2 linked regions of the Diceros bicornis minor genome follow. The protein of the gene in region 2 interacts with the protein of the main gene of each other region in a pairwise test. Links are inferred from orthologs where the notes say so. Each region holds a gene or a part of one and is shown on either strand. Other genes may lie near its edges. The genes, in order: RCN3 and SUFU.

Region 1 (3,904 bases), on a different chromosome or scaffold from region 2:
CCCCGCCCCTCACACAGAGCCACGCCCCCACTCGAGACACACCTCCATATAGGGCTGAAAATGCCGTCCACGGGCCGCCGGCACACCGGGGAGAGGCACCTGTCAATCCTGGGGCCACGCCCACCACATGGCCCCGCCCCTCTAATCCAGGCTCCGCCCCCTCAACCCAGGCTCCCGCCCTTTCCGAGACACAGGGGGCCTATGGCTGTAGCTGCCGCCCAGGACACGCCCGGGTTGGGGGAAGGACCTACGACAATCCAGGGCCACACCCTCCACTCTGGCCCCGCCCTTCGATCCTGCACGTGCTCCTCCTCTTGCTCGACCGAGTTGGAGTGGGGTCAGGGGGCTAGGCGCCACACTGCGCCCCTCGCCCTCAGGGCTCCTGTCTCAAGACTCCCTCTGAACTCCGGCTGCCATGGCGCCCCCGACCTCTCGCTGTCTCAGGCCCGGCCCTCTCCCCTGTTTCTGCTGGTCTTCGGATCCTCCGCTCTAACCCCGGCCCCTGCTCCGCCCCCTCCATGGCTGCGCGCGTCAATTGCAGGCCCCTCTCCCTCCAGCCCCGCCCCATGCTGCGCCCCGCCCCTTTCCCCACCTTCCCCCAGCCGTCGTCAGGCATTGCCCTAGGACCACCATGCGCAACCCCGCGGGCTGGGCCTGCACGCCCCACTCCCCGTGCTTCAGCCTAATCCTGGGCGCCTCCGCATCTCAAATCGAGCTCCCACCTCACGCCCCTTCCCTCGGGCCGCTCCTGTCGGCTCCCAGGCCCCTCCCGTCTCCCCTGGCCACGCCCAGCCACTGGTCTGGGTCCTCGCCCAACCGCTAACAGGGCCCACATGGAGCCCTCCTCTCTGTCCCTAAGCCCCCGAGACCCGGTCCCCGGATCGAATCCGAGACGGCCCTGCCCAGGGCACCGCCCCCTCCCGCGCCAGGCTGTCTCTGTTCTGATGGGTCGGGGGCTGGCTCTGTCCCCAGGACTCACACTGTACCCTGCGGTTCGAGCTGTGGTTAAGAGTATGGGCTCCATAGCCAGGAATTCGAGGCTCAAGTCCCGCAGCCTCCTCTTGCTGGCTGTGTGACCATGGGCAAATCACTCAACCTCTCTGTGCCTTAGTTTCCCCCTCTGTAAAATGGGGACAAATGATAGGATCTACCCCACAGCGTGGTTGTGGGGATTAAATGAAAGCACTTAGAACAGTGTCTGGCATTGTAGCGCTATGCCAATGTGTTAGCCTGTCACTGCCCTCCCTCGCCCACCCCTCCTTCACCCAACCCCATCCACGCACGATCTCCTAGCAGCTGACCTGTCGACCACCGCTGTCTCCACCCTGATCTCGCCGCCATCGTCTCTTGTGTCCCACCTGGACAATTGAAGTTGCTTCTTCACTGGGCTCCCTGCTTCTTGCTCCCTATAGTCTGTTCCCCACTTGGCAACCAGAAGGATTCTGTTAAAACTTAAGTCAGCTCACGTCCTCCCTCTGCTCAGAGCCCTCTCATGGCTCTCATCTCATCAGAGAAAAGCTTAAATCTTCACTATGGTCCCAATGGCCCTGCACGACCTTTGTTCCTTCTCTGCCATCACCTCCCACCCGCTCCCTTCATCACTGGGTTCCAGCCACACGGGCCTCACTGTTCCTCAAACACATCCAGCCCACTCCTGCCTCAGGGCCTTTGCACTTACATTTCCCTCTGCCTGGAAGGCTATTCCCCCATATACCTACACGGTTCAAATATTACCTTCTCTCTGAGGCCTCCTGTGACCTCCTTGTTTAAAATTACAACCCTGAATTCCCCCCCCCAGGCCCCCATCTCTCGCCTACCCCAGACGGGTTCGGCTTTCCTCGGGGCTGAGTTGGTCAAATTCCTTGGCCACTTCTCGTCCCAGAAAAGCCTCATGGTCGTACTGGAAGTTCCCATGGGCGTCATCATGAGGGGCCTCGCTCAGAGGGGCCGCCTGGTGCACCCTCCCCTGCCCGTGAGGTCCGGCGTCAGGGGACGGCTTCCCCTGGGCTCCGCGCCTGAGCAGCAACAGCAGCAGCAGAAGTGATGGTCGCCACATCATCAGTCCCTGGGGAGTGGCGGAGGCTAGGAGTCAGGGGTCACAGGAAAAAGGACAGGGACGGGACAGGAGGATGAGGAGCAGGGGAGGGGGGGGACCCCGAACAGGACAGAGAGATGGTAGCTGGCTGCAAAGTTTGGGGCTCAAGAAGGGCCGGGGATGGGGGAAAAGGGGCGCGGGGTTCTCAGAGGTAAAACCAGCTGTGGGGACTGACTCTTCTGAGGGGTCCCAGAGCCGCAAGCGGGGGATTCAAGCGGGAGACGTGGCGCACTTCCCACGCTAAGTGCAGGGCGGGGTCGCGGCTAGAGAGAAACCAGGCAGGCTCCCGGGCGTTGCTTCCAGCCTGGACCCTAATCCTCGACCCGCGTGGACCCGGACAGCCCTCCCTGGACACCCGCCCCCGCCTCTTTTTACCCCGTTATCCGGCTTCACGCGGCTCTCCACGCTCCCTCTGCGTTCTCCGAAAAGATGCCCAACTTGGCGGCTCTCCAGCCAGGCCCCGCCCCCGGCAGCGCAGAGGCCCCGCCCTCCGACCAATGAGCGCTCAGGAGGGCCCCCACGGGGCGGGGCCAGAGAGCGCCGGGCCGGCCGCGGACGCCCCTCGCCACGTCCACAAAGGAAAGCGCGGCCCACGAGGTTCGGCCCTGCCCCTTCCCCGGGCAGGCGGGGTGGGCGACGCCGGAGTGACGCGGCCCGGGAGAACTACAACTCCCGGCAGGCGTCGGGGCGCCCTCCCCGACCACCTCTAGTTGTACTAAGTCCAAAGCCTCATGGGAGCTGTATTTTTATCTCTTTCCCTTTGTGGGGATGGTTTCAGGAAGAGGGGAACCCAGGGGCCAGAGGAAACACCCCTTCCCTCAAAGAGGGAACAACTCTTCTCTTCTGATCCACCAAGAAGGATTCAGGTCAGACTCCAGCCAACAATTCCTCAAAATGCCTGGCACAGTGTAGGCATTCAGTAAACATTTGTGAAATTTAATGAATGAAAAATACATGACTTGGTATATAAAACTGGAGATTCCACCACGCAACACGTTAGCTGCAGGAGAGATCTGAAGCCCAGGGCTTACACCATTTATTCCCCCCACCCATTCTCTTACCTCCCCTGCCTAAAAAGTTGAAATGATGAGAACACAATGCCTCGGGCCCAAATTCATGTTATACGTGGAGGTGGAAAAGAGCTATACATATGGGAGGGGAAACTGAGGCAGACCACAGGAGGAGGAATCCAGAGGAAGGGCATCGGGCTCAGGACTCCTTCTGGAGGCTCAGAAATACCAGGATATCACGAGGTCTCACGGCATGAAAGGGACCTGACTACATTAGCTGGTAGCAGCCAGGCTGGGGGATGGGGTCACGAAGTTGCTGGGAATGCATTTTATATTCTAAGAGTCAGCATCCTTGGGCAGGCCAGGAGTGGGCAGGAGGGCCCCTATATCGTCCCCACGGAGAGAGATCCAAGGGGCTGAGGAAAGAGGAAGGAAGGGAGGTCATCAGAATCTCTGAGCTCCTCTGGGTCTCTGACTGCCCCTCCCCCCCGTTTCCCTGGGTGTGTGTCTTTCTCACCCTCACTCTCTGTTTTACTCTGTGGGTTTCCATCCCCCTCTGAGTCTGTTTCTCCCTCCAGTTCTCTGTCCCCACTTCTCCCTGAGTCTCTCTCTCTCTCTCTAGATCTCTGTCCCCCCCAGGACTGTGTGCCCATCTCTTTCCGGGTCCTTTCCCTCGTCCTGCCCCACACCTGGCAGCCCCTTCCTCATCCTCCACCACAGCAGAGCTCCTCCTGCGGCCACTGCCGTGAGCAGCAAGATGCCGATGACGACTCCAACTACTTGCAGCGAGGATCTGGCT
Region 2 (3,904 bases):
GACTGGAGTGGCCCCAGAGCACAGGCTCTGCCTCTCTGCTTCTGCTCCCTGCTCACTAAAGTCTCCGCTTTCAGCCAGGATGTCCCTGCTGGCCAAGGACCACTAGCCAAAGAGCCACCCTTCTGTTGCAAGAAAAGGAATCCCAAGGTAACCTGGCCCACAGCCAGACCCAGGCAGCCTCAGTCTGTCATCCTGCCATGAGAACTGAAGAGGCCTTGTGGGACTCCAAATGTGAGGGATATCAATGAATTAATTTCAGGATCTTAATTACGCAACCCCCTTTGAATCTTAGAAAGAATCATTTGCTGAGCTGTCCCCTCTTACGTTTTTCTTCATCTAGGCAGCATTTCTAATTTCACAATCCTTTTTAGTCATCATTACATGCTGGCCCATCTCTGGCCTTCATCATTCACCGAGTCTAGACCATTAACAAGTTTGCAGCAAGAAGAAGAAAAAAAGTTGCCCAAACCAGTCTTAGTCCTTTGCACATGCTTCAATACCTTTTACACACAACTCTATCCTTCATGGCCAGTTGGGTGACATAAAAACAGTTGCCCAAGTCCGTGTAGGGATTTCTCCCTACACTCAAATGCGGCCTGAAAAAACAGTATGGCAGAGGCAGGCCCACTTTTCTCATGACACAATCCAACAGAGTTCATCACAATACATATTTAAATATAGAGGTGCAATTAGAATGGGTGATTAAGTTATCAAGAGCTGCTTTTCACTCAGAAGCTCTCTTCAAAAACTCCTCTCAACCAAAGAACAGTGTGCTTGCCAGAAAGAACTGTACCACTGGCCACACCTCCTCCGGCTACCAGACAGAGACAGGCTGCTCCTCGTGGCCCTCCCTAAGCAGCAGGTGGCTGGTCCTCAGGCCCTCCACACTGTCAGCCTCTTCACATCCTCCCATCGACACAGGGAGCTGGCCTCAGCCCTATCCAGCCTAGCTTCTGCCATCTCTGGAGGAAGTAAGAGGTTGTCATGTAGGAGAAAGACTCAGTCTTAAAGGGAAAGGTAATCAGCAAAGACATCCCCTTCATTCACTTCTACCTTGAGTCTACCTACCCCCTCTGCCACAGGCCAAGCAGATACCTGAAAAGTCTTCCAGGATTCAACAAAGGGACCATCTAATACAATGCTTGCATGAATGTGGTTCTGGACAGATTCAACCAATTCTTGTCAACTTTTGGTCCAGAAAGACCATGAAGACAGGCTCTTTTCCAGAGTCCCCACAACACCTGTTTTGCCCAGAGGCTGCAGGAAGAGACAGGTTGCAAACAGGAATGAGAAACTAGAAAAGACCATTCCTACCCCAAGGGCAGCCCATCTGTAAACAGGTCTAATCCTTAACAGAGCTACTTGAGGGTTACTCTCAGCTTCCCTGAGACACTGCTGCCTAAATCCTAAAGTTCGTGGCCAGGAAGTTCCTCTTAACATCACACTGCACTTCTTTCCTCTTTGTCTAACTCCCAGGTCTTCATCATTTACCGAGGTCTCCTTCAATCCTGACCCAAATCATGGATCTCCCTGACCCTGCCTGCCTCTGTTCTAGCCAATGACCTAAAGCAAAGCAGCTGCAGAGCCAGAGGAAGCTCTGCATGGAGAAAGAGAACTGTGCAGAGTAAGCAGAAAGTTTATCAGGAAAAGTTGCCCGGTGAAACTTCAAACGCAAAAGCATTGCACTGATATGATGTCTGAGCTCACTGGGAAGTATCAAAACGAGACCTCCTCCTCATCTCTTCACAAGCACGACGCTCACAGCTTGCTCCCCTCCTAACCCACAGGAGAGCCCGGGTCCCCAGACCGGCCCCAACCCTATGCTGTCTCGTGCCCTTTGAGCTCCTCCAGCCCGGCTCCTCCAAAGCTCTCTCATATGCTCCCCAGGCCCCGCCTCGCCTCCCTCATCCCGCTTCGGCCGCCCCTCCTTGGCTTCCCCTCGCCCACTAATGACCCCCTACAGGCGCCCCCTCCTTTCACCACGTTTACAGTTCCCTCTCTCCTACCGTTCCCCTCTCAGCTCCTACACACACCCCCAATTCACTTTATTCTCCTAATCTCAGTTAACCCTTCAGCCTTCCCTCCTTCGTTAACCCTTCGCTACCCACAGGCTCCGTTAACCCCTTTGTCCCCATTCGCAATTTGAGCCTTAACTCCTTCCCTCGCAGCAGGAAGCCCTCCTTCCAGTGCTTTAACCATTCTCTGTCTCCTCCTCCAACCTTGCAAATTACTTCGCCCCCGGCGCTTTAACCCTGCCCAGCCCGCCCCTGTCCGTCTCCCCGCGGCCCAGGGCATACCAGTACTTGACGATAGCGGTAACCTGGAGCGGGTTTGGCTGGTCAGGGTAAAGGCGGCGGCACTCTCCGTAGATGGCGTGCAGTCCCGGGGGGAAGAGCGAGGCGAAGGCCGGGGGGGCAGTAGGGCCAGGGGCCGGGGGCGCGGTGGGGCCGGGGGCGCCACTAGGCCGCAGCTCCGCCATCGGGGCGTGTAGGACGCTGGGGAAGCCAGGGAAGGCGGACGAGGCGAGAGCACTGACGCGCCAGCGGCGGACTCCGTGGGTGCGACTCCCCGAGGCGACGGGGGCTGCAGCGAGGTGTAGGCTTCGCGCCTGCGCACGGCGCACCGTCCGCCCTGGCAGTCGCCGCCGCAGAGACCGCCAGAGGGTGCCTCGGCGGCCGCGGGGCGCTCAAGGGGGCGGGGCGCCGGCGCGCCCTATCCCAGCATCCATTGGCTAGTGTCTGTGCCAGTCACAGGTAGGGAAGGCGTGACTTGACCATAGGTCCCGCCTCCCTCTGCCTGCGTTTGGGGTGTCCCAAGGCTCTTGGCCTCCCCCTAGTGTTAGGAGGAACCTAGACTTAAATAGAGATGTTGCGGCATGCTTCTGAGGTGCTAGGGTCTCACGAAAGCCGTGGAAAGTGCACCGACGAAAGGCTTCTCACTGTTTTGCTGACACGCTGCTAACAAGGATTTAAATATAAATCTGACAATAGATTGATTCATTCGTCCGTGTGGCATTAGTTTTATTTTATTATTATTATTTTTTTTTGTGAGGAAGATCAGCCCTGAGCTAACATCCATGCTAATCCTTCTCTTTTTGCTGAGGAATACCAGCTCTGAGCTAACATCTATTGCCAATCCTCCTCTTTCCCCCCCCCCCAAAGCCCCAGTAGATAGTTGTATGTCATAGTTGCACATCCTTCTAGTTGCTGTATGTGGGACGCCGCCTCAGCATGGCCGGAGAAGCGGTGCGTCCCTGCGCGCCCGGGATCCGAACCGGGGCCGCCAGTAGCGGAGCATGCACACTTAACCGCTAAGCCACGGGGCCAGCCCCTGGCATTAGTTTTAATAGATAACAAATCTGAACGTTACCTACCGTCTTTGAATGTCCATTGACTATATCGACTGACACTAACACCGCCAAATTCAGGGGTCATATTTTGAAATACCTATTTTGGAATTCTGTCAGAAAGTAACAAGAGTTAGGTAAACTAGGATCGATTAAAAAGACTTGGTAATTATTTAAAAAATGCTTTTAGTGAAGATGACAATCTCTTTTTTCTTCTGTTTTAGGCAGATGTCTGCAGATTACTTTGAGGAACATCATTATCTACTGTGGCCTGCCCTTCCCCATTACCTTGGCTCTCTGTAACTGGAAAAAAAGTTAATTTCGAAGGCACTGAGTTGGGAATTACTTTCCTGTTTACAATAACTTTTCATATAGTAATGTCTTCCACTCAATGATCTGGAAATTCCAAGAGAAAGGGATAGAAGGGAGTCCTGCTTACCAGTACTATTAACTAAAAGATCCCTGCAGCTTGAAGGCGGGGAGGAAATAATCTAGAGAAGAATGCACTGGGCTCATTTGAAAGCAGTGACACATAACCTCTCTTCACCTCCATTTTCT

What was found.
Region 1: the proteins of SUFU (region 2) and RCN3 interact in binary tests that used the Homo sapiens proteins (3 or more experiments, as listed by UniProt). The two-hybrid records come from large-scale screens. The link is inferred for Diceros bicornis minor from reciprocal best matches to the Homo sapiens genes SUFU and RCN3.

What each region holds. Positions count from the first base shown.
Region 1 is NC_080773.1:24,959,202-24,963,105, reverse strand, and holds the start of RCN3 (reticulocalbin-3), read right to left. Parts: upstream 2,553-3,904; 5' UTR 2,471-2,552; intron 2,066-2,470; 5' UTR 2,060-2,065; coding exon 1,818-2,059; intron 1-1,817. Other genes in the region: FCGRT (IgG receptor FcRn large subunit p51), read right to left, coding at 3,442-3,521, 3,795-3,904. UniProt on the Homo sapiens protein: Probable molecular chaperone assisting protein biosynthesis and transport in the endoplasmic reticulum.
Region 2 is NC_080745.1:67,462,631-67,466,534, reverse strand, and holds the start of SUFU (suppressor of fused homolog), read right to left. Parts: upstream 2,624-3,904; 5' UTR 2,480-2,623; coding exon 2,298-2,479; intron 1-2,297. UniProt on the Homo sapiens protein: Negative regulator in the hedgehog/smoothened signaling pathway. Down-regulates GLI1-mediated transactivation of target genes. Down-regulates GLI2-mediated transactivation of target genes. Part of a corepressor complex that acts on DNA-bound GLI1.